Linked DNA regions of Rhinolophus ferrumequinum. The protein of the gene in region 1 interacts with the protein of each later gene in a pairwise test. Links are inferred from orthologs where the notes say so. Each region holds a gene or a part of one and is shown on either strand. Other genes may lie near its edges.

What was found.
Region 2: the proteins of A2M (region 1) and C11H11orf58 interact in a two-hybrid assay, tested with the Homo sapiens proteins (2 studies listed by BioGRID and IntAct). The link is inferred for Rhinolophus ferrumequinum from reciprocal best matches to the Homo sapiens genes A2M and C11orf58.

What each region holds. Positions count from the first base shown.
Region 1 is NC_046293.1:25,188,411-25,204,678, reverse strand, and holds the start of A2M (alpha-2-macroglobulin), read left to right. Parts: upstream 1-7,580; 5' UTR 7,581-7,666; coding exon 7,667-7,752; intron 7,753-10,071; coding exon 10,072-10,255; intron 10,256-11,188; coding exon 11,189-11,348; intron 11,349-11,507; coding exon 11,508-11,560; intron 11,561-13,158; coding exon 13,159-13,179; intron 13,180-13,456; coding exon 13,457-13,625; intron 13,626-14,074; coding exon 14,075-14,159; intron 14,160-15,500; coding exon 15,501-15,621; intron 15,622-16,268. UniProt on the Homo sapiens protein: Is able to inhibit all four classes of proteinases by a unique 'trapping' mechanism. This protein has a peptide stretch, called the 'bait region' which contains specific cleavage sites for different proteinases.
Region 2 is NC_046294.1:36,838,813-36,855,898, reverse strand, and holds the start of C11H11orf58 (small acidic protein), read left to right. Parts: upstream 1-8,464; 5' UTR 8,465-8,611; coding exon 8,612-8,674; intron 8,675-13,253; exon of another isoform or gene 13,254-13,310; coding exon of another isoform or gene 13,311-13,355; intron 13,356-13,671; coding exon 13,672-13,755; intron 13,756-16,409; coding exon 16,410-16,470; intron 16,471-17,086.

The DNA.
Region 1 (16,268 bases):
ACAAAATAACATAAGAAATGAAAGAGAAGATATTACAACTATTCTCACAGAAATAGAAAAGAGCATAAGAAACTATTAAAACAATTATAAGCCAATACATTGGACAACCTATAAGAAATGGAGAAATTTCTAGAGACACAACCTACTAAGACTGAATCATGAAGAAATAGGCTGAACAGATGAATAAGGAGATTAAAGGAGTAATCCAAAACCTCCAAACAAAGAAAAGCCCAGAGCCAGATGGCTTCATGGGTAAATTCTACTAAACATTTAAAGAAGAATTAATACCAATTCTTTTTAAACTCTTCTAAAAAACAGAAGCAGAAGGAACACTTCTAAACTCATTTTACGAATTTAGCCACACAGCCACATCCTGATATCCAAGTCAGAAAAAGTCATCACAAGAAAAGAAAACTACAGGCCAATATATCTGATGAACATAGATGCAAAAATTCTATATAAAAAAAAAGAAAATTACTAACATAGTGAATTGAACACCATAATCAAGTTGGATTTATCCCTGGTATGTGAGGTTCATTCAACATACACAAATCAATCAATGTAACACACCACATTAACAGAATGAAAAATAAAAGATCACATGATAATCTCAATGGGTGCAGAAAAAGCATTTAACAAAATTCAAAACACTTTTGCGTTGAAAACTCTTAATAAATTAGGTATATAAGAAACTTACTCCAACACTAAAAAAAAAAAAAAAACTTATGAAAAGCCCACAGCTAACATCATACTCAGTAAAAATCTGAAAACTCCCTTCTAAAACCCACAAAAATACAAGGATATCTACTCTCTACTCTACTATTCAACATAGTGGTCACAGTCCTAGCCAGAACAGTTAAGCAAGAAAAAGAAGTAAAAGGCACCATATTAGAAAGGAAGAAATAAAATTATCTCTGTTTACAGATGTTATGATCATATATATATATATATATAACTACACACACACACACACACACACACAAACAATTATTGAAACTAATAAAAAAATTCAGTAAGGTTGTGGGATATAAAAATCAGTGTGCTTCTATACACTAAAAACAACCTATCTGAAAGAAAATTAAGAAAACAATTCCACTTACAATGGCACCAAAAAGAATAAAATACTTAGGAATAAATTTAACCAAGGAGGTGGAAGATCTATATACTGAGCTACAAAACATTGATAAAATAAACTTTAAAAACACAAATAAATGGAAGGACACGCTGTGTTCAAGGATTGCGACTATTAATATTGTTAAAATGTCCATATTTCCCAAAGCGATCTATAAATTTAATGTAACCCCTATCAAAATCCCAATAGTAGCATTTTTTGAAGAAATAGAAAAATTAATCCTAAAATTCACTGGGGACTACAAAAGACCCCAAATAGTCAAAATAATTGTGAACAAGGAAAACAAAGCTTGTGGTATTATACTGCCTGATTTAAAAACATATTACAAAACTATAGTAATCAAAATAGTATGGCACTGGCATAAAATAGGACATAGAGACTAATAGAACAGAATAGAGAGCCCAGAAAATAACCCCTCCATATATGGTCAACCGATCTTCAACAGGAGTGCCAAGAATACACAATGGAGAAAAGATAATCTCTTCAATAAATGGTGTTGGGAAAACTGGATTTACACATGTGTTAACCTTAAAAATAAAAAGTGGCAGGCAACAAGTATTTATCTGAGATCAAAAAATAGCTATTCAGGAAGCACTGTTTCAGGCAGAAACCTAGTGTTCTGATTATGGGGTGAAGGCAAAGGGGGTTTATTTTTAAAAGAAAGAAAATAATTACACAAGTAGAAGAAAGGAATTTCTATTGATGCTAATAAGCTAAGTTGTTCTTTAGCTATATATGGCTATTCACTAATTCTAGAGAATGTTTATAATTAGCCCTCGTAGTCAGGTAGTCTGCTTTCCTGTTAGCTTTACAAACAGTTGTTTGGAAGACAATGCTCTAGCCCAGTCAAAAGGTTATTTTGCCCACTTTAAACATTCCAAATGTTCCAGGAGTAAAACATATAATGCAGTTCCTCTGGAATATCTGCCCAACTCCATTTTAAAATTGCTCCACTTATGCCAACTTTTCACATATGCAAAAGAATGAAATTAAACCCTTATCTCACACTACATACAAAAATCAGCTCAAAATGATTTAAAGATTTAACTTTAAAACCTGAAACAATACAACTCTTAGAAGAAAACAAAGGGGAAAAGCTTGCAAACATTTGACTGGGCAATGATTTCCCAGATATGACACCAAAAGCACAGACATCAAAGACAAAAATAGACAAATGGGATTACATCAAACTAAAAAGTAACTGCACAGCAAAAGAAACAATTAACAAAGTGAAAAGGCAACCTATGGAATGAGAGAATGTATTTGCTCATTATATATCTGAAAAGGGGTTAATATATAAAATATGTAAGTAACTCATATAGCTCAAAAGCAAAACAAACAAACAAACAAAAAACCAATAACCTGACTTTAAAATGTGCAAAGGATCTGAATAGATATGTCTCAAAAGAAGACATACATATATATATGAAAAGGTGCTCAGCATCACTAATCCTCAAGGATTAGTCATGTTGATAGAAGGTAACTGGCAGTCATTTAGAAAGGCAACGTGACAATAGCTATAAAAAGTTTTAAATGCATATACTCTTTGACATAGCAAATTCACAGTACAGTTTCATTACACAAAAATAATTTTACATGTCCAAAAGTATGTGTATGGAAGAACAGTCATTGAATGCTATTGTTTGTAGTAAACTGTTTTAAGTCAGGCACTAATTCCTCTGTATCACAAGGCAGAATCCAGTAAAATAGATTTTGTGTGAATATCAGTATACTTTAGAAAACTAAAGGACCAAATGGATTTTAATTTAAAAGATAAAACACTGAACTCTTTGATAATTTTGAGAAACTATGGCAAGCATATTGTTTGAATAGAAATAATCTGAGGGTTTGTTATGCTTTTTATCTCTGTACATTCAAATATTTTTCTCATTTAAGATTTTAAAAGGGGATTAATGAGATAGCACAAATGAGAACACTCTGATCTTTGAGCACATCTCTGGGGATACCTATTTGCCTTTATCTCAGGCAGAGATAAAGCAAATACACTCTCTGATAGAGTAAATATCCAATGCCATTAACCAAGCTTTTTGGTTTTGATGGTGATTAATATATAACCAGCTGAAATGTCTGAAATATCCCTCATTATCATTACCATTAGGAACTACACCAGCCTAAACCTTCTCTTTTCTCAGCCAAAGAGAACGAAATGTAACAATTGGTGCTCTTGGAGATGATCCATTCAGTTTCTGGCAAGCTCTACAACAGTACAAGGGAAAATATTTTTTTCCATTTATTTTTATTAAGGCCCATATACCTCCTACTCCTATTTTTTTCTCAATTTCCTAAGAATCCTCCTTTGCTCTTAATGGCGTGTGTTTTCCTGCCTTTTGTTCCCTTACTTTGTTTTCCGTGAACTTCCTTTCTACTTTTCTCTTCCTTTTCTCTCTTACCCGTTCACCTTAACTTTCTAACAGTAAATTTTTGCTAAATCCTTCAAAGTTGTACAGATCTTGTCCAATTCGTGTCTCCTCTTTTCTGTCAAGGACTTGTTTACTCAGGTAACATAACTTTATTGATTTGGATGCCGTCGTATACCAAGGCCCAGACCAGGTATGAAATAGAGCTCTTCCTCACTCATAAAGATTCAAAATATATTAATTTTCACCAATAGTCAGGTGTACAGTTTTAAAAGCTCTGTTACATCTAGCATCGTGTGTAAAACCACCCCATGAAGGTGATAATACACATATTATTATCCCCTTACTTTTTGGCAAGAGGCTCAGAGCAGTTAACCAGTCAAGTTACCCAGGCTAAGAACCAGGACTCAGGTGTCCCGACACCTGATCCAGTCATTTTTTCCCCTCCAGCTCATTTTCCTTCTTCCCAAAAAGAGTAAGCTCTATCCTGGTGAAAGGAGCACTTCAGATCTAACGTTTATCTTTATCTATGATTATATTGAAATGGTGTCACTTCTCCTGAGGATAACTCCTCCATCCACTTTATTAATACATCCACCTCACTCATCCTCAAAGTCCTTTCTCTTGGGATTGTCGCTTCTCACTCCACAATGTCCAACCTGTCCCCTTTCATTTGATCCTCCCACTCAGCATTTATAGAAGCAACACTTCATTTAAACTTGTTCAATTCTCTCTCCTCTTAAAGAAACCTCCCTCTCAGCTCAACATCTCTGCCCTATCGTTCTCCTCCCCTTCAGACAAATTCTGGGACATTGGTTCCAGGTCTTCACAAGCTGCAATCACGTGTCTGTCCTACAGACACTGAAACAGCTGGGTTCCAATGTGCTTCTTGTCTCTAAATCCAGCAGAATAATGGTCATTCAACCTGTTATTTGATTTCACAGTAGCATTTGAGATGACTAGACAGGGATTTAAGCCATAACAATCTTTACTGATCATCATTGTAATTTATGACAAGGAACCAAATGAATGTTATTAATGTTATTGGTCCACCTCCTACTTTAAGTAACTAATCTTACGAATAAGTGTTTAGTTATGTCTAGATTCTTAAGAACAATTGAAGTTCTATTTTGAATTAACACATTATAAAATCATGCATACTTTTGAAATGATTTTTTTTTTATTTTATGTGGTATTAACATTGATGTCTTGGCATAAAGCCCCAATCACTCTGACTAGTAAAAATCTTTTCCTAACTATTCTTTTCTTAAAATTGTCCCTTCTTTGGGACAGAGTTCCCACCCTTTCCTGGTTGTTTCTCTCTCTCTCTCTGTCTATCCCTATCTCTATCTCTATTTCTATCTCTCCCTTCTTGTTCCATTTCTGTGCCCCTGCCCATCACTTAGACACTGGTGTTTCTTAAGGTGCTATCCTGGGCTCTTTCTCTTTTTATCAGCATATGCTATGTCAGTATTATCATCTATTTTCATGGCATCAGCTTTCCCAATAAGCTGATAAATCTTTAATCTGTATAAGTAGGCCAGATCTCAGTAAACTGGTGGTGTTCAGATTGCTTTCACTTTAACCTACAATAACAAAGGTTGTTCATTAGTTCACAATGTAATACTGTGATCACATTTTCACAAAGTATATATTTTTTACATTGTAACCTAGGACAGTCACAGTTAAGGATAAAGATGATCAGATAGAGATAGTAATAAAGAAAGAGAAATGATACTAGTTAGGATACAAGTTTTACTGCTCTAATAAATAGATCTCGAAATGCAATAGCTTAAATAAGAAGTATTTTTCCTTAAGTGAAAGTATAGGCTACAATGGCCTTTGGATGATTTAGGGACTCAGACTGTGTCATGCATGATATTCTGCCTTTCTCATCACATGGCTTCCATCTTATGTAGACCATACAATAGAAGCTCTGACTACAGTGATCATGTCTACATTCCAGCCAGCGGTCAGGAAGAGGGAGTAGCACAGAATCTAACCCATCCTTTGTAAGTCATGAACTGAAGGCGGCCTACATCACTTCCACTCACACTCCACTCACCAGGACTTAGTCATACGCAATACTGACTTCCAGAAAGAAATGAATGTTTTTAGCTAGACAGTGCCTAGCTTAAACTCAGGAGCTATAGCATGAAAGATACAATTGGAGAAGGGGCAATAGAACACAACCAACAGTTTCTGCTGAAACTATGTGCAACAGATGTTTCCAAACTCACTGTTTCTGTTTGATACACTATATTTTCTATTTTATTATATTATATTTTTTTATTTGCATCCCTTGATTTATTCCTTTATTGTTTAGTGTCCCATTGCCAACTTAAACTTTGAATAAAAGTTGACATTTCTGCAGTGTGCAAGGTGAAAGAATTGCAGGAATGCAGTGAAAACATTAAACAATTAAAACATCATAATATGTAAGAGGGTAATTTTAAACGTTTGATGAAAACTCATTTTCTGCTTGAATTTGAATAGAAAAATTAATTGCCCCACTATTTTTTTCGTAAAACCTTGGTCATGACTCACTAATCATGATATCATAACTCACTATGGACGGTGACCTATATTTGAAAAACATTGCTCTAAACCTACTATGTCAAATATAGTAATCAGTAGCCACATGAGCAACTGAAAACTTGAAATGTGTCTAATCTAAATTGATAGGTGCTGTAAGCGCAGAATCCATACCAGATTACAAAGACGTAGTACAAAAAAAAAATGTAAAGTATCTCATTAACAATTTTTACATTGATTAAATGTTGAAATTATAATATTTTAGATATACTGAGCTACATAAAGTACATTATTAAAATTAATCTGTTTCTTTTTGTTTTTTAATGTGACTACCAGAAAATGTAAATTTACATAGGTGACTCATATTTATTTTTATTAGACCTCACTGCTGTAAGCTCTAAATGCAAATGTTAAACTCTCAATGAATATTAATACTTGTATCCCACTAGCACTTTCTAAAACTAAACTCTTTATCTTTCTAACCCTCAGCTCTCTGTCCTCCTCCTGTTCCCATCCTGTGTTTCCTGTTTCACTCAGTTAAAAGCAACACAATTCATTCAGTAACCAGACAGGAAAATTGAAAGGCACGTTATCCTTTATCCATCACATTCATATATTCAGTGGATACTATAATTTTACCTCTTAAATATGATATACATCAACCTCTTTCCAAACTCATTATGAATACCCTAGTTCAAAACACCATCGTCTCTCACCTACATAACTGCCATTCCATCTCCATGATTTTGCATGATACTGTCCCTACCAGGTACAATAAATACTTATAGAACAACCAAATAGATGGATGATTGAATGGATGGATGAAACAGTTTATATGACTAAAGATTGGTAAGGACCAGCATATTTAGAAGTCAGTAACAAAAATGGTTTATATAGTAGATGGTAAAGGCAACTGGGATCCCTGTTAGGCACAGTAGGTCAAAGCTTATTTATGAGGTCTGTCTACTTCTCCTTCCCTCTTCTCACTTTCTTAATACAGGAAAATGTTTTCAATTATCATTTTTCCAGGGCCTAGCTCTTCACCTGCAATCCAGTAATATCCCTAAAGTCTAAAATTTATTAGTCTAATCCAGTATCATTTCCATAGAGGATTACTGAATTCTGAAACCACTTCAACATTTACGGTAGGCTACTGACTTGCAGTAAAAAATCTATTTTGAGCCTGTCCAGTATTGCTTAAATTGTAGCTTCCCTTACTAACTATTCATGCAAGAGATGTGAGAAAAGGCATAAAAGATTTTGTGGAGGGGAGAGTAAGAGAGAAAAAGGTTTGAAAAGCTGATCAGCTGCATTATAGTAAAACCCAGAGAAAGTGAGCATTTATGGGATATGGATTTTATCCCTCCAGGAATTCTATTTAGCTGGCTGGGAATTAACCTTGACTGTAATTAGGCCCCTGAGAGCAATGACCCTTCCAAAAAGTTTAGAGACTTCTCCTTTGTTTAGACACATTGTGGGGGTGGAACTTCCTGCTTGCTCAGAGAGCAATATAAAACCCAGTTGCTTATAAAACCCCTCTGAAGAATGCTTCAAACCAGACCTACTGCAGGGAGTAGGGTACAATACAGTCTGGTCTCCTCTGGCCCCTTCACCCTGCAGCATGGGGAAGGACAAACTCCTTCATCCAAGTCTTATTCTCCTCCTTCTGATCTTTTTGCCTACAGATGCATCAGTCTCTGGAAAACCGTGAGTTTCACATAGAGCATAAACTTAGAGTCCTTTCTTTATTTTTTGCTGCTATGAATTGGAATACTCTGTGCAGCAACCACTTTATATATCTGTTATAAACTCCTGCTTGATTCATTAATATGCAGTTTTAAGTGTTAAAAAAAAGAGTCCTTTCCTCTATTTCAGGTTCTCCTCGGTATTATTCATTTCTCTTTCCTATAATACTATCAATTTCTTATCTCTAAGGTCTCTTCCAATAATGAGATTTCATAAGTCTGGTTTATTCATTTTTCACTTATTCTTAACCATTTTTTTTCCAATTCTCTGGATCTCTGAATTTCTAAATTCTCTGGGGATACAGAAGGACTATCTAAGGAAAATTGGAAATTAATATGTTTAAAGGAATGAATTTTTAGTTCCTCACATTCATATTAACCTGCTTGAGGCCATGCTATTTATTTTTTCTTACCTCCCCTTACTTAATTGCCCACCTTTCACTTAATAAAAGAAAGACAGACCTCTCCCTCAATCAGATATCACCATGGAGCATTGTCTTGGAGTATAAAAATCTTTAGGGTGCCAAAGAAAGGAACAATTTGAAATATTGACATTGATGTTGAGAAAGCAAAGGATTCTAAGGATGGGGGAGAAAATCCTTTTGCAGATCATTTGGTGACAAGTTCTTTGTTTCAACAAAATTGATGGAAGATCTAAAGGAAATACCAGCTCATAGATAATTAGAAGTCATTCTTGATAATAGGGCACTGGGTGATTTTTGGCATGTGATGCAGAGGTGTTACAAGAACTGATAATAATGATATAACTGCTTTATCTGTCATTTATTTACTTTTATGTTAATAATTTTTCATGTCACTTACATCTACACAAACCAAAAATAGCAACAGAATTAATGTTAGGCTTTGTTTAATTCTTACAATAAGGACTATCCATCCATGGATATATAAAAACAGCTCATCATTTTTTAAAAGTGTGCTTCAAAAGTATTCTGATTTTATATCTAATACGTATGAATTATAATTTGTCATATATTTATTTTGTTTTGATCAGTTGTATATGAGTAAGACTTTTGAAAATAATTCAATCCAGAAGAAAATGTTCAACATTTATAATGTTATGGTCACATTAAATTTAAGAGTTAAAATTAAATTTATATACCCACATATAATATTATATATATATATATATGTACATTTATGTATATACTTGTTATTAAAGGAAGAGTGATCCATAAAGTATTTTGAAGCATAAAAATCTTAGTATAAACTTCTGTGTGGTTAGTGGCATGAAAATTTAAGTTTAAGGAGAAAAAAAAAGAAAAGATGTTAAATTACTGATCATTATGAAAAGAATATGTTGATGTATTTTAAAAAATAATTTATATTGGATATCATATCACTATGATATTTAAAATTCCCTGGGAAACTTATACAAGAGTAATACAAGTTTTAACTTAAAATAGCATCATAAATAATATCTTTTGCTATTATTTATACTTGTGATAGAAAAAATAGATGTCTCCTTAAAATATGTAAGGAATACATACTGTCTAAAAATTATTTTGAGAGTTCTGTGAGCAAAAATGTTTGAAAACTACAGGTCAAAAAAATTATATATGAGGGTACTGGGAAAGTTTCTGATTTGCTCATGAGTTATCAAGACCCAAAATTCAATCACTAGAAGGCCATTTTTGAGTGGAACTATTGTCTAGTCATGAGTTGAAAGGCAAATATTTAAAATGTAAACATCAGGGTTAGGTAACACACTAAGGTTTCAGTAGTTGCTTGTCACAACTGAGACTTTAAACTAATGTCTCACTTGCTTTAAGCCTCAGATTGCACATCTGTAAAGTGGAAAACAAGTACTTGCCATACCATTTTCACAGGGCTATTGAATATATAAATATACTCAATGAAAGTTCTGCAAATTGATTGGTTTCTGTAGTGTCCCACCTGAAAGCTTGTTTGCTTTTTACACGAATCCCAATGTAAAATAGATTTACAATATATAATTAGCATATTTTTAATTTGAGTTCAGATGCTTACATTTTTGGGGTTCCTTACAGTAAGGTATACCTACAAATTTTAACCTATGTAAGGCTTACTTCAAGCAAAATGTTCGCTGCCATGGTACTCATGATGAACTGGGGAATAATTCTCATATGTGCCATTCAAAAACAAAGATTAATTTTATCCTCATCAATGTCTTCTCTTGGTATAGAACTAATGAGAGTAACAATAATTTTGAAGGAAAGCAGTGCTGTTGATAACAATGCCTTTCCTCCTACACTCTCCTCTGACTGGACTCCCCCATTTCCAGACAGTATATGGTGCTTGTCCCCTCTCTGCTCCACACTGAGACCCCTGAGAAGGGCTGTGTCCTTCTGAGCCATCTGAATGAGACGGTGACAGTAAGAGCTTCCTTGGAATCTCTCAGGGAGAATAGGAGTCTCTTCACTGACCTGGTGGCCGAGAAGGACTTATTCCACTGTGTCTCCTTCACTGTGAGTATGACTGACTTAATATACTTAGTTCTATTGGTCAGGGTCCTAGAGATCGAGAGTTCAGCCAAGACAAGGCTTTCAGAGGCTGTCAGGGACTCCAGGAAGGAATCTAAATGTAGCAACTAACTGTAGAAATTAAGAAGCAATGCATAAATTTCCAACCATGGGAAGCAAATACTTACAGCATATTAAAAATCAACTTAGAAATTAATAAAGAAAAACTATTATGTAGTCACACAATGGAATATTACTAAACAGCATAAATGAATAAACTACTAATGCACACACACACACACAAAATCAACTTAATGATCAAAGAAAATTCCTACTAGCCAGTAAAAGAAGCAATATGCACTAGACAAAGGGAAAATGTGACTTCTCCTTAAAATTAAAATGGGAAGATATTAATAAAACAAATTATGCCAATACTCAACATGAGCCTCAGTGGTGGGCTGACAGGAATACATCACCCCATACTCTCTAAGAGAGAAAGTTGTAGAAATTATGATGATCCAACAACTCTTCAGTGTTACTCATATGTAAAATGCTTATAACCTGCAGCAATAAAATATTGTGATTTTCTTTCTCATAACTTTAAAATATGCTTCTACCATGCACTTTTATCACATTCCAACTTGGGAAAGTTCAGTATGTAATTGAACTGAGACTGTATTGGCTGATCTATAAGGTGATGTGAGTCTCACTTATGATTTTTCTGATCTTACTGATCTATTTTCCTTCATCTTGTGTTCTCTCTTCCCATTTGTAAAATGACAGAAGTAACTCCTTTCCATGCCAATTTTCCCTGGTAAGAATGAGGGAGAGAGGTTAAGTAGGAGCGGCAAGATCTACAGGGAAGAGTGGAACAGGGTGGGAAGGGAACGTGGAAGACTGAATGGATTCTCAGAATCTCTCCTGGGACCTGTATTTCAGGTACCAAGATCTTCATCCAATGAAGAGGTAATGTTCCTCACTGTCCAAGTGAAAGGACCAACCCAAGAATTCAAGAGGCGGACCACAGTGTTGGTTAAAAACCATGAGAGCCTGGTCTTTGTCCAGACAGACAAACCCATCTACAAACCAGGGCAGACAGGTAAAAGGAGGCCTACAGTTAGGACTACTTCAACAAGGAAAGATCTTCTTCTCCTGCCTATTCCCCAGTCAAAAGCCCTGTAATCCTTGTTCCATAATAATTTGTCTTACCAACCTAGTTTAAGATTTCTGGGACTCATGGAAAATATTTCTGTTTCAGTGAAGTTTCGTGTTGTATCGCTGGATGAAAATTTTCACCCCCTGAATGAGTTGGTGAGTCCCTAATATCTATATAGAATCATTATTATCTGTATAAACAGGCTGGAAACCTGTTTCTGGCATTGGGGGAGGACCAGATAGAAGAAGAATCTGGTATTGATAACAGTACTTTCTGGCATTACAATACTGCAAGATACTCATTTAAAACAGTATCACAGCAATAAAGTAGTCAATCCTCTCTATCTTGGTACTGGTACTTAGTTGTCACCCAATTAAATGTACTCTTTGGAAAGTTCTCAATTAGGCAAATTAGAAAGATATTTTGAGCAATAGGCACACTAAACCATCAAACTATCAAATAACTTAAGTTCAAGTAACTTTTCAAAGATATAGAATTTTGCAAAACACACCTACCAAAACCTCTTCTATAAAGGAAGATGAGTGAAATGAATGTTTGTTTCTGCGGACTAACACTTGATATTTATGATAAGAAACAACTCTTTCAATTTCAATGGCTATATCTAACCAAAGTTTTAATTTTTCTTTTCCAAATCTATTCCTCCACTACATTTTCCTCTCTTAAAAAGGGGCAATATTTTTCTTCTGGCTCCTAAAACAAAAGATTATGGCATAGTCCTCACTTGTTCTCTTTCTCTCACTCCCACATCCACATCGTCAGAAAATCATGTTAGATTAAAATGTATCCAGACTATTTCTTACCACCTGCATACCACAGCCTCGTCCTGGGCAATATCCCCTCTTAAGAGGCTATTGCAATAGTCTTGCAACTGGTCTCCTGGTTTCTACTTTCACTCCTCTATCTAAAAATCAAGCACTTCATTGTTCACTCTATCAGCTTAATCCTGCTTTATGTTATCTTGGTATTTACCCACTACCTGATAGATATAGATATATAGATACAGATGAAAATGGATATCAAATACATAGATATCTCAAACACAAATCAACTTATATATCTCAAATAAATATACATCAAATATACATATCTCATGTATATTTCAAAGATGTGTGTATACATATATATACCTACATGTATATTTCTTATGTATCCATTCCTATTAGAATGTAAACTCCATAAAAGCAGATGTATTATTCTTTTGTTCATTGTTATATTCTCAGCGCCTAAAATGATACACAGCAAATGGCAGGCACTCAATAAACAAATACTAATTTTTAAAAATTAATAAACATTGATAATAGAGGAGCTATTCCCTCCTTATTCTTGGAATTACCTAAGAATTCTGTGATACATCTTAATATTTGGGTCTGAACACGGTTACTTATAGTTCCGTTAGTGTTTATTTCTCAATCTGTAGAATTTCATAGCAAAGGAGTGTTCTTCACTGGGATGCTGTAAGCAATGAAATAATGTTAGTAAATCCCATTCCTAATGAATGGCAGAACACATATGCATTTGTTGCTCTGAGCCTAGAAAGTTCTTAACATTATGTGTTAATTGCTTATAATAGATTAATAAAAAGTTGTGTAAAACTTAACCTGGAATTTGTGTGTGCGTGTGTGTGTTTTACTACAGATAGAGTTATTCTCCGTAAAGCTGTCTCGCTTATAAATCAGAACTGAGAATATTTGAGAACAATTCTAAACTCCTTCCTTTCTCTTCTGTCTTTCAGATTCCACTAGTATACATAGAGGTAAGCAAAATGAAACATTCCATAAGTTGATGTAAAGTAATACATTTAAGGAAAATGTTCTTATTTGAGTGGTTCTTACAATATTCCAGAAACTTGTCCTTAAAGGAGAAGCTTTCAAACTCATATAGTGCTAAATGGTTCTACTCATCTCCCCTCCCCACCACTCATCACCATCTCGTTTTTCCTCATTGTGGATGATATAAGAGTTTCCATAGATTTCCTTTATTTTCTTTAATGCTCTAGGCTCTTTTGTAAGTTACAATTAATGTATCCATAGGACCCCAAAGGAAACCGCATCACACAATGGCAGAAACTCAAGTTAGAGAGTGGCCTCAATCAATTGACCTTTCCCCTCTCATCAGAGCCATTTCAGGGCTCCTATAATGTGGTGGTACAGAAGGAATCAGGTGGAAGGACAGAGCACCCCTTCACCGTGGAGGAATTTGGTATGGATTATAAAATATGATGGACGATTTTTCTTTGTAGTTAAACATCTGAGGCCTAGAATTTGAACTTATTTGGAGTCCTTTCATTTCCCATGGGTGAAATTAAGTTTGGAGTAGAACCAATTACATCTAACTCTAATGAGGACCATCAGTGATTTGTGACTGGGACTTCATATAACTTATTTATTTTCATAGCAATTTTTAATTTCCAAAAAATGTAAAATATCTTTGTTCCAGTGTAGTCTTCCATAATTCATTAAGGTTACAGTGATTTATCACAGTCCTGCAACCAGAATCTCCATTTGAGAGCAAGGTAGATATATTAGAGAAGAGAGCTACTTTTTCAGCAGCCTAAAATGTTATTAGGAAATTGTTACAGAGAACCTGAAAATACTAATTCCCCAAAATTGGAAAACCAATCACTAACTTCCTTTATCTCCAATCAACAGTGCTTCCCAAGTTTGAAGTCCAAGTAACAATGCCAAAGATAATTACTATCTTGGAAGAAGCAGTGAATGTGTCAGTGTGTGGCCTGTGAGTTTACACTTTTTTAAATCTTTTGAGGGGAATTACTTTAAGAAGACTCAGCACTGGGGATATTTTGGCTAGTTTTTCTAGGAGCAGTGGCAACACAAATAATTTAAATACATGAGAACACCCCATCTCTAGACCTCTCTAGACCTGTTGCTTTCCTACATTTCCTTCTTATTTTCTTACATGCCCTTATCAGCATTATTGTAACTATTGTGGTTCACGCAACTGTTCCTAAAGAGGCTATGCTACTAGGATTGTGAAAGCAATAAAGCTGCGTGTGTTCGCCATACTCGAACACACACACAAATGAGATAGGCTTGAAGGGTAGTGACTTTCCCTTCACCGGGTTGTGGAAGAAATTCAATCACCACCAGATTTTTTACCTGACTTTGCATACATGGTGGAAAAATAGCTTAGATTCAGAATCTATAGAGATAGACATATTACCAAAATCTCATCTAACACATTGGTCTACCTAAGGAATGTTACATACCTCTCTGCACTGCCATTTTTACTAGACGAAACTGGACATGATCTCTCAGTATGGTCCTTTCCAATCTTGAAAATTCGTATTTCCAGGATCTTATCTTCCCATCTCCAGTACCCCAGCAGCAGCACTAGCAGAAAGAGCAGAGAGTGATGAAACCAGTCTTGCCTGAAAACCACATATGTAAAGCACCCACTATTTAGCTGGTTCCCTGCCCTAGCACTGTCTCAGAGTAATGGCCACCAAGTTCCTGGTCCCACATAATTGGTGAGCCAATACTTTTGCAAATAGGGATATAGAGGAAGGAAGGAAATAGAGAAAGAAACAAATATCCTGGAAATCACAGCAATTACCAATGACATATTTATGGCACAATCACATAGTTGTAAAAAGTAAACAAGTAAAATTCTATATAAATAGAGATGGCTACACATGGGGAGAGGATGATGGAAGGAGAGATGCCATCATATTAATAATTTGTATTCGTAGGTAGAATTGAGGGTGTTTGTTTCTTTGTTTTGTTAGTGTTGTTTTTTTTCTCTTAAGAACAGGTATAGCTTTAGTAAAACAAAAGATAGTTTTTAAGATTAAACTGAAAATTAAAAGTTAAAAAAAAGACATGATAAAAGAAGACTGTAGTAAATTTCAGCATGTTGCACTGGAAAATTCTAAAAGAGAAGAAGTGTCATTACTTAACTGTGTTCAACACTGTTTAAGCCCTGCAGATGGGGAAGTATAGATTAGAGGGATGTACAGAGCGTAAATATACTGTAGCTAAAAGAGGACTATAAATAGGTAGAAAATGGGGATATTCAATGTCTTCTTTGATTCATTTGGCAATGTTTTTATGACAGATACACATATGGGAAGCCAGTCCCAGGATATGTGACTATGAGCATGTGCAGAAAGTATAATAATCCTTCCCATTGCTTTGGTAAAGAGTCAGAAGCTATGTGTGAAATTTTCAGTCAGCAGGTAGGTGGAAAACTCTTTCTTCTAGCAACTTACAACCAAGGCATTGTTAATAAGCAGTGAGTTACAACATCGTGCTAGCTAATTCAGGAAGAGAGCAATCTATAAGTGAATTCTATGCTAGCTACAGTAGTTTTCAAAAAATCAGCAACTTAGCACCATAGGAATTATTTATTTCTTGTAATTGTCCATTGTGTGCATTCTTGGTGCACCAAACATGCAGAATGATGGAAATTGAGCCAACTCCAATACTTGGTATCCAAAGCCACCTTCGGAGGGAAAAACATACCTCTTAACCACCTTGGCTGGGAGGATTGTCAGTTTTGCTCTTTCTATGAGCAAGAACTTGTCACGTATCTAGGCCCCACCTAGACACCAGGGAGGTAGGAAACACAGTCCCTAGATGGGTGGCCACTTCCCAGCCACAGCTATATACTAAGGGAGGAGAGCCAGACTTTGGTGAAGAGTTAGCTGCCTGTTAAAGTAAGTTTACTACAAAATTTTTAGGGCATTTCTATCTCATTCACTGTAGGGATTATCCTACTAAGGAATATACTAGTCAATTACAAACCAGATACTGTTGTGAAATATAATAATAATCCCTAGAGAATGGTATTGTGTTCTTATCATAGGAAATACCTAAGTTATGT
Region 2 (17,086 bases), on another chromosome or scaffold:
ACCCATCACAGTCCTACTGAATCAGAAACTCTAGGGTCGGGCCCAACAACATAAACTTGCACAAAAAGTCTTCTAGGTGATTCTGACATGCACTAAACTTTGAGAACTATAGTTACAAATTAATAAGATTTTATCTCTTTCTCTCTAGACTTACATATAGCCATTAGTATACGTGGTATTTTACACACCTCATCTTTTGTCACAGAACTACTCAAAGATTAGGTTTCTAAACTGAGGGAATTATGAGTAATTCACATCCACTGGGATACTTATAACCAAAAAGATGGATAATAACAACAGTTGGCCAGAATGTGGAAAAATTGGCCCCTTCATACATTGCTGGTGAGAATGTAAAATGATGCAGAAACTTTGGAAAACAGTCTGATAATTCCTCAAAAAGTTAACCATGGAGTACTCACACGACCCAGCAATTCCACTCCTGGATATATACCCAGGAGAACTGAAAACATGTTCACACAAAAGCTTGTACACAAATGTTTATAGCAGCATTATGCATAATAGCCAAAAAGTAGCAACAACCCAAATGCCCATGAAGTGAAGAATGAATAAACAAAATGTGGTATATCTATACAATGGAACCTTAGCCATGAAAAGAAATAAAGTATTAATACATGCTACAACATGAATTAACCTTGAAAACAGTATGCTAAGTGAAAGAAACCAGTCACAAAAGATCACATATTGTATAATTCCACTTGTATAAAATGGCTAGAATAGGCAAATCTAGAGAGACAGAAAGATTAGTGGCTGCCTAAGCCTGGATGAGAGGGAAGAAAATAGGGAGTGACTGCTGATGGATACAGGGTTTCTTTTTGAGGTGATAAAAATGCTATAAAATTGATTGTGGTGATGGTTGTACAACTCTTTGACTACATTAAGAAACATTTAGGAGATTTAAGAGGGCGCGATAAACACTGTGCCTGCTTCCTTCAGTGAACAAATTAAAATTATACAACAATCAACCTGGAGAATCATTTGAAGTCTGGCTAAACAGAAGTTTTGTAACTAAGGATATAAAGAAGCCACGTTGAGACTGGTAGGAGGGGCGGAGATGTGGAACTCGCTAACCCAAACTCCATGTGGCGGTTCAGAACCAGTAGGGATATCTTGGCCCCTGAGGTTCCCCCAAAGGAGGAAGAGACCCCAACCCCACACCAGCCTCCCCAGCCCAGAGTACTGGTGCTGGGAAGAGGAGGCCCCACAACATCTGACTGTGGAAAGCAGTGGAGATTCCAACTATCCGGGTGGGACAGAAGGCGGCAGGAAACCCAGGCATCCTCTTAAAGGGCCCATGCACAGACGCCCTCACTACCAGGCACTCACCTTGGGCTCCAGCAGAGGGACAGTAACTCAGAGAGTGTCGGAGACCTGCGGGGGATGAGAGGGGAAGCAGACTGAGTTGTGTGGCTTTGAGATGAAGGCTGAAGGACAGCTGGCATTTTCGCTGTAAGGGGTCCTTCTCCCATGCAGCCAGCAGGCTGGTGCCATCTTTCTTGTATTGAGCCCTCCCCCTACACTTACAGCCAAATCTGAATCTGATTGGTCTGTTGAGCTCTGCAGCTCTGCCCTGCTGACTCACTGGAACCCCAGCCCATCCAATGTCAGAGGCACTTTATCCAAGAGCAGCCAGCCCCATCCAAATTGCACTCTTTCTTGGAAAACTGTCAGAGTCCAACAGACCCCAGATGGGTGGCAACTGACCTAGGTGTGCTCTGAGACTTTTGCTTAGTAGCTTCAGGCTCAGCACTGGCACCAAACCAGAGTTTACATTAACATGGTAACAACTCTTCCCACTCTAGTGACTCCCTGAGACCCTGCATCACCCAACTTACATACCGCATGAGGCTTTATCAGTGGCTGAACCTTAAGGGAGTGGGCAGGTGGCAGCAGGCCTTAGGCTGTCCTGACTTTTTGAGGAGCTACCCCAGGCCCAGTACTAGAGGAAGACATCCTCAGTTTGCAGCATGACCTCTCCCATGAGCTTCCAGGGTTAGCACGGCAGTGAACAACCTCAGATCACTTTGTAGCTGGCCAGTCCCAGGCAGTGGGTGACCTGGGCCTGCCAAGGAGCCCCTCACAAGAGGCCCCAGAACCAACATACTTGGAGATTGGCGTCAGACCACAGCAGAGCACTGCCCAATTAGTCCCACAAGGAGCACAACCAAAGGGCAGTCTTAACAGACACCAGAGCCTGATGGGGCAAATCGCACTCAGTGGGATAAGCCCCTCCCCAGACACAGCAGCCTGTAAGCTGTGGACAGGGCCAAACCCCACAGCCAATCAGCCTGTGGATCAATAATCCGACCCATTAATGTGCCAAGAGCAACCAAGGCTCAACTATAACAGGAGGATACATACAACACACAAAAGGGACACTCTTGGAGCACCCAGTGCAGGTGACCAGGGAGAGGGTGCCACTGGGCCCCACAGGGCACCTACTACATAAGGACACCAGCCAAGACTGGGGGACATAGCAGATCTACCTAATACATAGAAACAAACAGAGAGGCAGCCAAAATGAGGAAATGAAGAAATACATCCCAAATGAAAGAAGAAAACTCCAGAAAAAGTGGAGCTCCCAAAAGATTGTCAGCTGATTTCTCAACAGAAATTTTATAGGCCAGAAGGGGTTGGCACAAAACATTTAATGTGATGAAAAGCAAGGACCTACAATCAAGATTAGTCTACCCAGCAAAGCTATTACTTAGAATCAAAGGACAGATAAAGAGCTTCCCAAACAAGAAAAAGCTAAAGTTTATCGTCACCAAACCAGTATTACAAGGAATGTTAGAGGGACTTCAAGATGGAAAAAATTTAAAAGATCAAAATTATGAATAATAAAATGGCAATAGCTACATATCTATCAACACTTACTTTAAATGTAAATGGATTAAATGCTCCACTCAAAAGACATAGGATGGTGAATGGATAAGTAAACAAGACACTCACATACGCTACCTACAAGAGACTCATTTCAGATTGAAAGACAAACACAGATGGAGTGTGAAAGGATGGAAAAAGATATTTCATGAAAATAGAAATGAAAAAAACAAAACAAAAAAAAGCTGGGGTATCAATTCTTATACCAGACAAAATAGGCTTTAAAACAAAGGCTATACCAAGAGACAAAACAGACCCAGTAATCCCACTTCAGGATATTTATCTGAAGAAACCCAAACGCTACTTCTGGGGGACGTGTGCATTCATATGTTCATTGCAGCATTGTTTACAATGGCCAAAATGTGGAGGCACCCTGGGTGTCTTTCAATGGAAGAATGGATAAAGGGCAGGTGATACATATATATATAATGGAATATTGCTCAGCCAGGGAAGGGAATGGGTTCTTGCCATCTGCAGCAGCATGGATGGACCTGGAGGGAATTGTGTTGAGTGGAGGAGTATCAGACAGTGAAAGAAGATGCAATGAGATTTCGCTTATATGTGGAATCTAAAGAACAAAATAAACAAACAAAACAGAAACAAACAAACAAAAACATTTAATCGTGCACTTTAAATAGGTGAATTATGTGGTATGTGAATTGTATCTCAATAAAGCTGTTATTTAGAAAGCTTGAAGGCACATGCCAAAATATTATTGTTGGAAAATACATGTAATGTAAAAATTAATGCAATAACAATGATCTGTACCTAAATTATATTATACTGGAATGAGGAAGGGGAAAATAGGGCAAAAGTAAAGGTGCTCAATTCTTCACCCACACCGTATAAGGAGTCATGAGACACTGAGATATTGTTTTACTCTTGAGTGGAGTAAAAACTAAAATGTAACCATTAATAGTATTAAAAACTAAATGTATATCCTCCAAATCACTAGAAAAAAGAAACTAAAAGGAATTACACTTCGATGTTAATGGTGGTTACCTCAGAACTATAACACTATAAGTGATTTTTATTTCTTCTTTATACTTTATTTTCCACATTTTTTACAATGGGTTTGTTTTATCTTTGTGTGAGTCTGTTTATCTTTGTGACTCTAAGCTTTTTAAAATCCAATTTACTTTTATGTATTCATTTATGATTAATTTGTAATAGGTTAATATTGTCAGATAATTTAAAATTCAAAAGATATAAAAAGTATGGTGAAAAGTCCCCCTGCTACCAGTGTACCTCAGATCCCAGATGCCACCACCCCAAGCCTGGAGTCTACAAATATTATCACTGACTTGGGTATCTTTAGTGGAAATATTTTATGCATATACATTGATTCTTTTCTTTTGTGTGATTACAAATACAGTATAAAATGTATAGTGTTCCCCAATTTGCTTTTTTTGTTCAACAATATATCTTGGAGACTGTCCCAGATCTGAGGATCCTCTTTCTTTTAATGAGTACACTATATGGATTTGCCATAATAATTTATTTAGCCAGCCTCGTATTGACATATTACTTATATAATTGACAAGAATAACAAAGTAATTTTGAAGGAAAAACTAGAATGTTCTAATTGTAATTTTCCCTTCAAAAAAGGATATCACCCATTGATTTAAGCTCATAAGTTCTCTTTCACAACTTTTGAACTTTTGGAATATTGCTGCTTTATGTATGTATAGACCTTATGACCAGAGTAGAAGATATGCATCAACAATAATTTTATTGAAGCAATTTTATAAGCAAATACATTTTCATCTTCTTTTTAATTCTTTATTCTTGTGAATTTCTAGGTATGCGTAAAATAATCAAACTAATATTGATGTCACCACATTTTAAATCACAGTAGCATGGTGGGAAATCTGTTCAACCAATGGACTAAATGAGAATTCATCTCTCACCATCAACCATCATCAACCACATTTATTTATTTTTTATACCTTGTCTTCAGGATTCTGTTAGACCCTACAGTTCAATGTATATACCTTTAAAATTAACTTCAAAATAAGTCTCATCTCTTAGTCTCCCATAATGGAACAACACATTCTTTATTTTCCCCTTGGCTTCAATGACACTTAACTTACCTCGTTCTACTTCCACATGTATCTTTTAATTTCAGGCTATTTTTCCTCAATCTACTCCTAAATATTCTTTTCCTTTTCTTTTTCAAGTGTTTCTTTTACACTTTGTAGCTTGGGCTACAAACTCCTTGAGGTAAGGAATTACACATTATTTATTCCGGTTTTCTTCAAATTTAGCACACTACCTGATACATACTAAGCACCCTATACAAATGCTGAATTATATTAGCACCGGAAAGTTCATGGGTTTTTGGAGTTGGACAGACTTAAGGAATGAATCCCAGCTTAGCCATTTATTCATTATCTATATGATTTTCTTAATCTTTATCTACAAAATAAAAATTCTTGCAAATTACTGTGAAGTTTTGAGATTAATTATAAAAAGCACCTAGCAAAATGTATGGTGAAAAGATTGCCACGGGGATACGAAAGTCAATTTGGGGAATGTAATCAATAATGTTGTAAAGATTTTGTAGGGTATCCGATAGATACTGGTCTCATTAGGGAGACCACCTCAGGGATGATGTAGATGCCTGATCACTGCACTCTACACCTGAAGCTGAAGCTGAACAATAATGAACGTCAACTACAATTTTATATACATATATAGTTACAAGAAGTGGAGTACAGCATTAGGAAGAGAGACAGTGGAAATGTAATGGCTGTGGGTAATGTCAGAGGGGTAGTGGATGGGGGCCGGGGGTTGTCACTGTGTGAGGGATATAAACGATAAATGTCTAAAATAAATAAATAAATAAATAAATAAATAAATAAATAAATAAATAATTTATGATTTATAACAAAAAAATAAAAATAAATTAAAAAATAAATAAAATGTATGGTGCAGAGTGGATATTAAATAATAGTTATAATTATGGCTCCAGGAACTGTTTTTAGTCTCAGTAGCAGGTTTTTGTACTGAGCATATTCATCAGAGCTTTTATTTGTCCTTTAGGTTGTTAACTATGCTCAGTTATGACTACCCAGGGTTGAGAGAATATTAATATATGCACTCAATAAACATTTATGAATACCTACTACATGCTAAGCACTGGTTATATAAAAAATGAGGACAGCATGGTCTCTACCCTCAGGAAAGTATTTCCAAGTTCTGTTAGCAACATAGTCTCCTCTCCTTGTCTTTATTACCCGAGAAAGAAGGACACTGCTGAGTTTCTGGGCCTTTTATGAAATACCACTCTATTACATTAGATAATTTCATACTTCCTATATTAATTCAAAAAAGTTATTAACTACTCCATAACAGGCATTGTGTTAGAAGATACAGAAACAAAAAAATAAAGATGAAACAATTCCAATCCCAGTGAAGGTAATAATATTTCAGAGTTCTGCGTGGTACAGAGCATCTTCTTGTTTTTACAAAACCAGAAAGAAGAATATTGCTGAGTTTCTATGCCATTTATGCATTTCTATTGCACTGTATAATTTCATCCTTACCTATAGTCTTCTGTATATAAAACTGAGTAAAATCTGATTAAATGATCCAGTCTTTATTATCTCCTATGTTACTTTTGGACTTGTGATCTTGTTTTGTAACTTGAAGATTTAGCCATACGGGTGCCAGTAATTCTGGTGAAGAAATAAAAGACAGGTTGCTAGCTCATAAGCTGTTCTAGACTTTCACTAATTAAAGTTAAAACTATTTAGTAACTACTAGCCTTGATAGTCCATTTTTATTTCAAAATTCTTTTAGCATAGTCTTCTAGTTGAGCATCTCATTTGTTTATTGGTAATAAAGCTAAGAGTTCTAAATTGTATATAGTAATAGTCTGTCAAACCCTTTGGAGGCAAACTGTAGTCCATCCTAGAAAATTCTGTAACTTAACTGCAATTTCATTGTAACTATATTTATATAACCTTCATAGAATCATAGTTACTAGGCAAAATACTTTAATTCATAGTAAAGAGCAAGCAACCACTTCTAGAAAATACTTTTTCTCCTCATGGGCTTCTCTTCTCCTTGTGGTTTATTTTTACCACAGAACTAATTGATTAAGGTGACCTAATTTGGTTATAAATTATGACCCTAGCTGAGATTTTTTTCATATTATCCTAATTGTTATCCCTTTGCTTCCAAAATATAGGAGCACAATTTGGATGTATGACTGCATAAAGAACTATCTTCCACTGGTCCCATTTCTATAGTTCTATAAATGGCTCAGTGATTGTCTGAAATCTAGGAAAGTAATCCTATTGCTACACAGGCAGTCAAATTAGAATAATTGCTGAGTTCAGAAGCTAATAGTTAAGCCGTTTCACAAGCTGCTTTCAGTACAAAACGCACAGTAGATATGTACTGTCATCCCACTTACTGATTTTTGCTTTAAAAACAAAATCAAATTTTTGATCAAGGTTCAGAAAGCTTCACAAGAAGTAAGGACAAGATTCCTGACAGAATGTTAGGGTTGAAGGCAGCCAGGTTCAGGTCTGGTTAAAAATTAAGACACCTTGATACTTGAATAAATCTTCAGTATCCAAATAATACCTTTAGAAACTGCTTTCTGAGTTAGTTAGTTGTTGCTGGGAAGAAGAAAGAATAGGGAAGGACTGCATAATAGGTACTGAAGTTCTTTGGGGGGGGCGGGGTGATGAACATGTCTTGGAACTAGATAGAGGTGATAGTTGCACATCGTAAATATACTAAATGCCACTTAATTGTACACTTTAAAATGGTTCATTTTATGTAATGTGAATTTCACCTCAATTAGTTAAAAAAAAAAGTAAATATTTTTAAAAAGGAAAAGGATACAGGGCTTTCCTGCAAAGAGGGGAAGGCCCCAAAAGTACAATGCCTACACAACAGCAGCAAGGCCTGTAAGGTGACTCCCACTTCACACAAAGCCAGGTGGAAAGCTTACAAAATTTCCTCAGGTGGATCTCAATAATAGCCAATTAACCAGCACTTACCACCATACTGAACTCATTTTGGAGATTGAGAAAGCAGCAAAATACTTATTAGAATCTTCTAGAAAGCTGTACCCTCGGTCATCTAGAAATCCCTACTGAAGAGTCCTATGAGCAATAGAGAACACCAGGGGGGAAATGGAAGAAGCCATATTTTTTTTTAAGGTTTTTGTCTTGGGAGGTTACTCGTGAGGATTCACTAAGCCGCAAACGTTACATTTAAACCTTGGTGCTTAACTATGACGGATACATATGTCAATGGTGCAGCGTCTCACAGCAAAAAGCGAAAACCCAGTCTAAGCCTCTTTTTGTGGTGACAAAGCTTTGCTACAACGCTCACCGCCATACCCATCCGCGGGAAAGCTCCCTTCACCAGTCGAAAAAGGCGGAGCCTCAGAGGACACTCCCGCCACACAGAGCGAGCTGCGCCGCTGGGCTTCCTGGGAATTGTAGTTTTAGTCACTCACCCTTCTCTCTTGTTCAGGCCAGTATGGAGTGAGCCAGAAAACTACAACTCCCAGAGTGCTCTGGAGTGGCTAGCGGCCGCGGCGTGACGACTGTGGCAGAGAAGGCCTGAGGGACTCTGCGTTCTGGAGTGGCGCTGCTTGGTCGGGTGGCAGATAGCAAGCTGCTGACGCCTCGGCTGAGGAGAACGGCGAGTCGGTTCGGCATTTACGGTCGGGTTCCCCGCGACGATGAGTGCTGCCAGGGAGTCCCATCCGCACGGGGTGAAGCGTTCAGCCTCCCCAGACGACGATGTAAATAACAATGGCGAAGTGGATGAGGGTTGAGGCCTACTAAAAGTTAGGGTAGGCCGGGAAGGGTGGATGTAGAAGGAGGAAGCGCCTAAGGTGGCCCGAAAAGGGAGGTAGGACGAGAGGGAAAAAGACCTAGAGGAATGGGAAATGTCTCCCTTCCTTAGTTAGGGTCGGAAGGTTTGAAAAGGTCCACACACTTAAGAGCTAGAGGCCTGCGTAGGATGGGAGATAGAGGAACGAAATACTGAATGGTCGAGAAGTGAAAGAGAATAGTCGAGAGATCATATTTGTCTCTTTGGGAGCTGATGAAGCCTCTTAGTCGGGCATTTCTACTAACGATAGAAACGGCAAGACCCTCCCTGTTTTAAGCTTAAAACGTTCCTGTGACAATGTCAAGATGTTCGTGCAGTTTGGGAGATTTCCGGCCGGGATTATTTTTGCGATGTACTGTTAAGAATTAAACTTAACTGTTACAGTTAGGAGTAAACCCAGAACAGTATTGAACGAAAAAATTGTACCAGGGGAGTAATTTGGTACTGGCGCAAGGTCGTGAGGTCTTAGACGTTGAGACCTGGAAGTCCGTTTTGATGTCAAGTTCCTCCCCTCCTCCCTCTTTTCCCCTCTCCTTCTCCCTCCTTTCCCCGTTTCTCCTCCCGTCCCCTCCCCCCCCATCCCTCAGCTTGTCAGTTTAAATAGCAAACCATTCATTCCTTAAAGTAGTCAATTAAATATTTACTGCTATGCCAGGTGTTGAGAATTCAAAGATGAATAAGTATGTGCTTTTCCTAGACCGTTTTGTGTATCTGTCCTAGCTCTAGCGCATTGTCATGAAGACTGCAGTAACCAGTAAACATACAACTAGGTCCTTCATACAGTGGATAAATGCTCTAGGAACGTTGATGGGGAAATTTTGGGGAGGGGAGCATGGAAAGGTCATCTTTGAAGATGGTGAAAGGACAACATTAGTTTTCTTTCGGTTTATTATTTAAAGAACTGTCAACTTCTGATTCTGAACGTGTAGAGTTCTTTATTTTCTACAGTGCAATTCAGTGCCTTTTATGTGAATTGTAAAAGGCTCACTGAAATACTACTAGTGCATCATCAGTTGTAGCAAATGAGGTGATGTTAAGACCCACCCCCTTTTGGGTGGGTGGTGGGGTTAGGTCCAGAATAGTAAGTAAGGCTCTTTAAGGAAATTGCTTTTAGCTTTGCAGAAAGAGTAGTAATCAGAAGAGATTTGAGGGTGAACAGTTATATAGTAAGGTTTATTCATGCTCTGTGTTCCTATAACTGGCTTTTAGATCTTTTCTTGTTAATATAGTAAGTAATCCAGTACTTCAGCAATTTATCTATGGTTCTGAGTAACCTAGGTCCCATTTTAAAAGCTATTACATTGTTTTCCTCCTGATAGTTAAGTGTGACTTGATTGTTAGAATGTTAGTCACCTGTATTGCTAGACTCAGGTAATTTTTTAAATTGACAGAAAGCTCTTGATGATATTAAGTAATTTAACAGAAAGTTAAGTCTCTACAGCTTGTGATGGGATCGCTTTAAATTAGATGACCTTCAAGACCTTTTCCAGTCTTAAACGCATTCACTGTCTTTGAAGGAGGTGATTGTAGTTGCAAATCAAATCAGGACCTAGTACCTTCACACACTGTCTAAAATTGATTATTTTGCTAATTTTATGTTACAGTGCAATACAGTAACCTATCCCTCCATAGTGATTTGTTTAAGTCAGTTTCTTTTCATATGAATTTTATTTTTGCTGGTAATTGGGAGTTATAGTTAAGTAGTTGTTTTTAAAACATTTAAAAATATTTTAAAATACATCTAAATTGTAGAAAATCAACTAATTATAATATATACATAGTTGATCAACAGTTTCTAATGAACATACATCCACTGCATGTAAAAGATAATCGAAGTTTTCTTTGCCCACTGACTTCACATGTTAAATGGGAGTAACAAAACATTTTTAAAGATGTTAAAAGTAGGTATTAAATCACGGAATCCAACTCTAGGAAAATGCTGACAATGTTAGAAGTAAATTCTGAAATTTAACTGCAGTATGTACTGGAGGTAGTAAATGCATTGCAGTTCTATAGTAAAGGGTATTAAGAATGCTGACAACTTAAAAATAGTTTTATTGGTTTGATTGGAGTGGAGAAATGAAAGTTATCTTTTAAGGAGAAGTGGGGAGGTTAATTTTAGTCAGTGGTGGAGAACCTCTTAAGAAAGTGCCCATGTGCCTTTCAGAATACACCACTTGGATAAGGTACCTGCTGTTATATGCTAAGGTCTTTGAAAGGAAGAACCAGAAGGACTTCATGATTGAAAAAAACATGAAGATTATAAATTGTAGATGATAGGGTTATTTATGTGAAGACATTGATGACATTTGCTCTTAATAGAGAGTTTGAGAAAGTTGGGGGTTTTAGACAATTATTTTTAACTTAATTTTATATATCTTTATAACTGTAGTTCATAAACTACTTTTACATATTCTGTCTCATTTGATCATGTACAGTATGATGTGGAAAAAGCAGAGGACTTAAGGCCAGAGGATCGAAGCAAGTCCCTTAGCCTCTTGCTTCAGTGTCCTCATTTATTAAATGGACTCTTAAGAGAATGTAAGTGAAAAGCGGTTTGTAAGTTGTAAAACACGAGGCAATTTTTAGGTGTTGTTATTAAGACAGTCTTTTAAAGAAGCCTCTTTAAGCCTTTTTAAAGAAGCCTTTTTAATTCGGTATTAAAGAAGCCTTTTTAATTCGGTATCGCGATACCGAATTAAAACTAAGAAGTTAAATGCCAGGTCCAGATTCACAGAAAGCAGGTAATTTAGTGGGAATCAGAACTTAAGCTTTACTAGTAGTTTGATTCTTATTTTTTAACATATTGAGCCAGAAATAGTTAAGAATTAACTGGTCTGTGAAAAGAAATAAGATGTCAGATGGAAAAAAGTAGAAATTTGGAACTTAGGTAGCCAAAATTATGAGAACGTATAACCTCCCCCACCAAAAGAAATTTAGAAGAGTCATAAGTGGATGTTGATTATGGTACAAATACTTACAACTCCTAAGCCCAGGAGAAATGGTCATCATTGTTTTATATTCTATTAGCCTTTTACAAATAATTTTCAGAAGTAAGAATAAAGGGATAGTGAAAAACAACCATTAGAAATTCCTATATGAATTTAACCATAAAAACCAAATTTCTGTCCCACATTTTCATGATATATAATCCCAGAATGATTAGCATCCTCTGAATACATCTAACAATTTATCAGTTGTCATGTGTGAAATGCATATAATTTCAGATTTCAAATCTATTTTTAATAGATGTTAGCTTTATTATGATGCTATTCTAGTTCTTATAGTTACATCATCAAAATATAATACTACTTGAATTTTTTGAAACCTTTGGTAGCTCATGATTTTATGTTGAAAGGGGGTTATCTTGAGAAAAAGAGGATGGTCCAGGCTCTTATTGCAAAATATTGCAAGAGAAAGTCCTTCCTCCTTTTGAGTGACTTTCTAGATGAGAATATTATGTATCTTTTTTGTCCCCGCCCCCTTTTTTTTTCTGTCTTGATTCCTGGATTGGAGAAAAGTTATCTAGTATTTCGTCTTGCAAATAACTCGGTCTAAAATTTTTGCATATACAATTTTTCCACCATGATTAATTGAGAGTATACCATCTGTCATTTTTCATTCACCTATTTATTCAGAAATGCCTTCTGTCAATTTTCAATTTTTTTACCCACTTGCCATTATGGGTAGAAATGAAAAATTCTGAATTATCAGCTGTGTCCAAGGAAAGCTAGAAGTAATCAACAGAGGGGTGATTCTTGAAAGATGATGCAATACTTTGGACAACACAATGAGAAAACTCTTCTACCATTTTTCTATTTTCTTATTATTTTAGTCATTTTTAGCATAGTTGGGAATAAATGATGAATTATAATGAAATAATTCTTACCTTTGTTTGAAGATGTAGGGGATTAAAATGAAATAATTCTTACATTTACTCAAGATGTAGGGAAAAATAGCACTAGGATTCCATATTTGGATTTATAAAAGGGTTCAATATTTTATATTGATTGACCCATTTGATAATTATAGAATGAGTTTTATTTTGTCCTTTTCAAAAAATTAATTTTCTCTTTGTTTGTTGGAAGACTTCTAAGAATGAAAGTCTGAACATATTTAATCCTTACAAAAACTAGAACTGCTCAAAAAGAAACTGAAAAACTAAAATGGGGTCCAGTAGTCTCTGATGTCATACTGTCCTTTAGAATATCACTAAAGCCAGAGTTTTTTAACTTCAACTAACAACTACGGCAGCTGTCTGGGTTCACAGTACTAGGTGCTCTAGGGCCCTGTAAGGCTCTGGATCTGTAAGTCTCAAAGTGGGGTCCCCCACATCAACAGCAGCCTCACTGTTTGTTAGATATGAAATCCACAAGCCCCATCTCAGACCTGCTGAATCTGAAACTGTTGGCGTTTCTAACAAGTAGTCTGTGTTCTAACAAGCCCTCCAGGTGATTCTGATAGAAGCAAACTTTTGAGAATTACAGGTCTGGCTGCAAAAGAACTAAAAGATTCTACCTTGAGGTAACAGAAAAGGAGTACAGATGCTCTTCCCACTTACGATGTGGTTACATCCTGATAAACCCACTGTAAGTTGAAAATACTGTAAATCAAAAATGCAAACCTAACGTACCAAACAGCAAAGTTTAGCCTGGCCAGTTTATACTGCGTGGATATCATTTTTGCACCATCGAAAACTCGAAAAATATGAAGTGGAACCATCGTAAGTTGGGGACAGGCTGTATATTTTAATTCAAATGTGATGCACATGCTTAACTTTCTAAACAAGAGAGAGCCCTGTTTATAGTTAAAAGTGACAGGGAAAAAACTTAGGATTTATTGGTAGACTTTAAAATGTTTAATATTTATTATTATGCAAAATTAATTTACTAATTTCTTTTCTAGCTTGGCTCTAGCAATTGGGAGGCAGCAGACTTAGGTAATGAAGAAAGAAAACAAAAGTTCTTGAGACTTATGGGTGCAGGAAAGGTAAGCATCAGATAGTATGCATTATTATCTTTTCTGTGAATATAATGTCCTTTTTTGTATAAAATGAGAAGGACGAAATATACTTGGATCCTATTTTCCTGTTATGCTAGATTATTTTAGGCTTTGGGAAAGAGAACTGACCTAACCAAGCATTTAAAAATTTATAGTATTTCTTAGGATTCTCATGTCCTCTGGGCAGTAAGGTTTAGAGACTATGTAGAACAAATTTTTGGTTTGAGGAGACACCTGTGGAAGAAAGAAGGTGCTAAAGATTATGATTTGCCATTTGTTCACCTGATGATTTGATACAAAGTATTTCTGGGCAAACCCATTTGGTAGGTCTTTCATAGTTTATAACTCCAGCCCTTGAGGTAGTAGCCAAGGGAATAGCCTTTATGAAAAACCTAATATTTAAAATGTTCAACATATTTTGAGAAATCCCTTTCAGTTTGATTAACATAATAGGCATAAAAGATAGAGGTGTTGGGAAAACATCGCCTATTGGGGAAAAACCCTTCTTATTCTTAGCAGTTCATTTTTACATGCAAATCTCATGCTTTCTAGATGTTTATTTTTTTATAAGCAAATACATTTATTTTCCTAACATTGTCACGGTAGTCTTCCTACAAATCTAATGTGGAAGAAGTAGGAAAACTTTTTTCTCTTTTAAGATCCTTAAAATAAAATTCTGCTTTGTATTTTTGTTACTCATATAGAAATGTATTTGTGCATTTTACCAGCAATTATTGACCAATATATGCTGGGCACTGTACTAGGACTGGGGTGGGGCTTACATAGATCAATAATGCAAGTTTGGAGCCATGATGTAATGGAGGAAACTAGATAATAACAATATGGAATTATAATTGCTATGAAAGAGCTATGCATGTAGTGCTATGGGATCAGCAGACAAGGGTAGCTATGCTGTATGGCTTAGCTATAAAGGAAGCTTCTCAGAAACACAATTGATGTGAATCTGAAAGGATGAGGAGTTAGACTACAACAGTGGGGTTGGAGGTAGGAAGAGGAGATGCACAAACATAAAGACCTATACAAAGGAAGTATTTGTATAATACCTCATTAATCCAAATTTCCCATAATTTATAATTTATCATAGAAAGTAGCCTGAAGTTTGTCTTGGGTCATGCAGGTAAAAAATTTGCTAAGAATATATAAAGTAAATAATAGTTTAGGGGGCATGCTCAACCTAGTGTAATGAAAACTCTTTAATTACTTAGGAAGAACACCTTAATGCAAAAAGTATGAAATTTAGCTACCAATAGTCAATTATATCTCAATAAAACTAGAAGGTATAACAGATTGAAGGATCGAAAAAGAAATATGGCTACCAATAAATTAGCTGTTTAGCATACATTAAATTCTTTGCTAGCAGGGCAAAGATTGTAGCTTTGATCTTTTTATATAGGCTGATTAGATTTATTCTGTTTTGTGGCCACAAAGTAGATCCTAATCCTAGCCAGTTACATGAGTATTTTATTGGTCACAAGGAGAACTAGCTGGGAAGGTACGAAGAGACCAATGTAGTACTATTATCATCCTAGAATAATTTGGTGCCATTATATATTCTTATCTTTTTAATGAGGTGTCTTCTGCATTGTAAAGAAGCAGCATATTGAATCATTGATTTGCTTATATGTTAATGGCATGTAAGGCAATAAGCATTAATGCTTGAAGCTTTCAGTAGTGTCATTTTTGGGTTTGGAGAATGTGTCTGTAATCCTTTCACAATAGGATGATTTGTTAACTATCTTCACAGATAATTAAGGTTGCAAAGTCACTCTGTTTTAATGAACAGTTTATTTCTTTACCTTATGAAACTGATACGAACCATAAATAGTGGATTGGAACTGATAAATTGAGAGTACTAATTATGTATCCAAATCAATTGGTAACTTTGAATCAGATTTATTATGTTCTATAGAACTAAGATTGTTTTAAATTGTGTTCTTTTTGACAATTTGAGATTGAGTGTTCATTGTAGTCAAATATTAGGTTGGTACAAAAGTAATTGCAGTTTAAAAGGTTAAAAATAATTGCAAAAACCAAAATTACTTGTGCACCAACCTAATAGTAATGAGTTAGCTATTTGATTGTGATATGTTGTAAACAGTAATGACTATTTTCATTTTTTATATTTTAAAGAGCTGTCACTTTGTTCATTATAAATCTTAATTTCATTTTTATTTAGCTAAATAATCTCATTTGCTTTGTCTCCATGAGACATGCCTGAGGCATCAGAAAGAGAAGGTGGAAAAGTTAGAGTAACTCGTTTAACTGGCCTTTTAGGAAAGAAAATGTTTAGATTCACTTAATTTTCTAGTTTTCTATCCTTCCCATTTGAAATTCCAACTTGATCTCTATATACTCTCTACCTCTTTGCCCTGCTCTGTTTTTGTGTATTTCAATAACATTTACAATCTTCTAAGGCACTATAATTTACTTAACTGATTTCGTCCCCTCCCCATCCCTATCCTTGCTAAAATGTGCTAAGTTCCATAAAGATGAGGATCTTAATTTAATCTTTTGTCTGCAGTGTATCCCAGAAGCCTAGATTAGTATTGGGCACGTAGTAGACACTCAGTAATTATGTTAAATTAATGGTCTTAAATTCTAATACATTTTCTGCCTTACAGAAAGAACATACTGGTCGTCTTGTTATAGGAGATCATAAATCAACATCTCATTTCCGAACAGGTAAGACACTAAAATATAATTAAAGTAGAGTTGCTAAATTTGGAACATGAGATATTTGTACATACTTCAGGATATTCTAACTCCTGTGTATAATAGTGTTGACAATTAAAATATTAGAATTGGAAATGTATGTAGTATATGTAAACATGTTACATATATCATGTAACAATTAGTATTTACTTTGATTTTTAAAATATTTGGGAGTATACATCAATATGATGTTCTGACTAAGAAACTGACCCTTTTCTGTCTTCATTTTTACTGATTATAACATATATTTTAATTGTAGTGAGGTCTTATGCCTAATCTTTCCAACTGTAGTATGTATTGAATTTATGTTTTTTACTTTATAAATTATTTAGCATATAATGTTATAGTTGGCATATTATACTGATTTACAGTTTATTCACTAAGTTTTGCTCCGAAATCTTTGAAGACTATGAACTCATTGCAAAGCCTAAAGAAATTAACTCTCGTGGGGAGGAAACTTTTAAAAAGAACTGCAAATGAATTTGAATTCGTTGCTAAAAAGGGCAGTTTTCTCAACTATATAAAATTGACCCTAATCTTGGACCTTAATAACAACAGGACATAATGACCTTGGTATATTTAACAA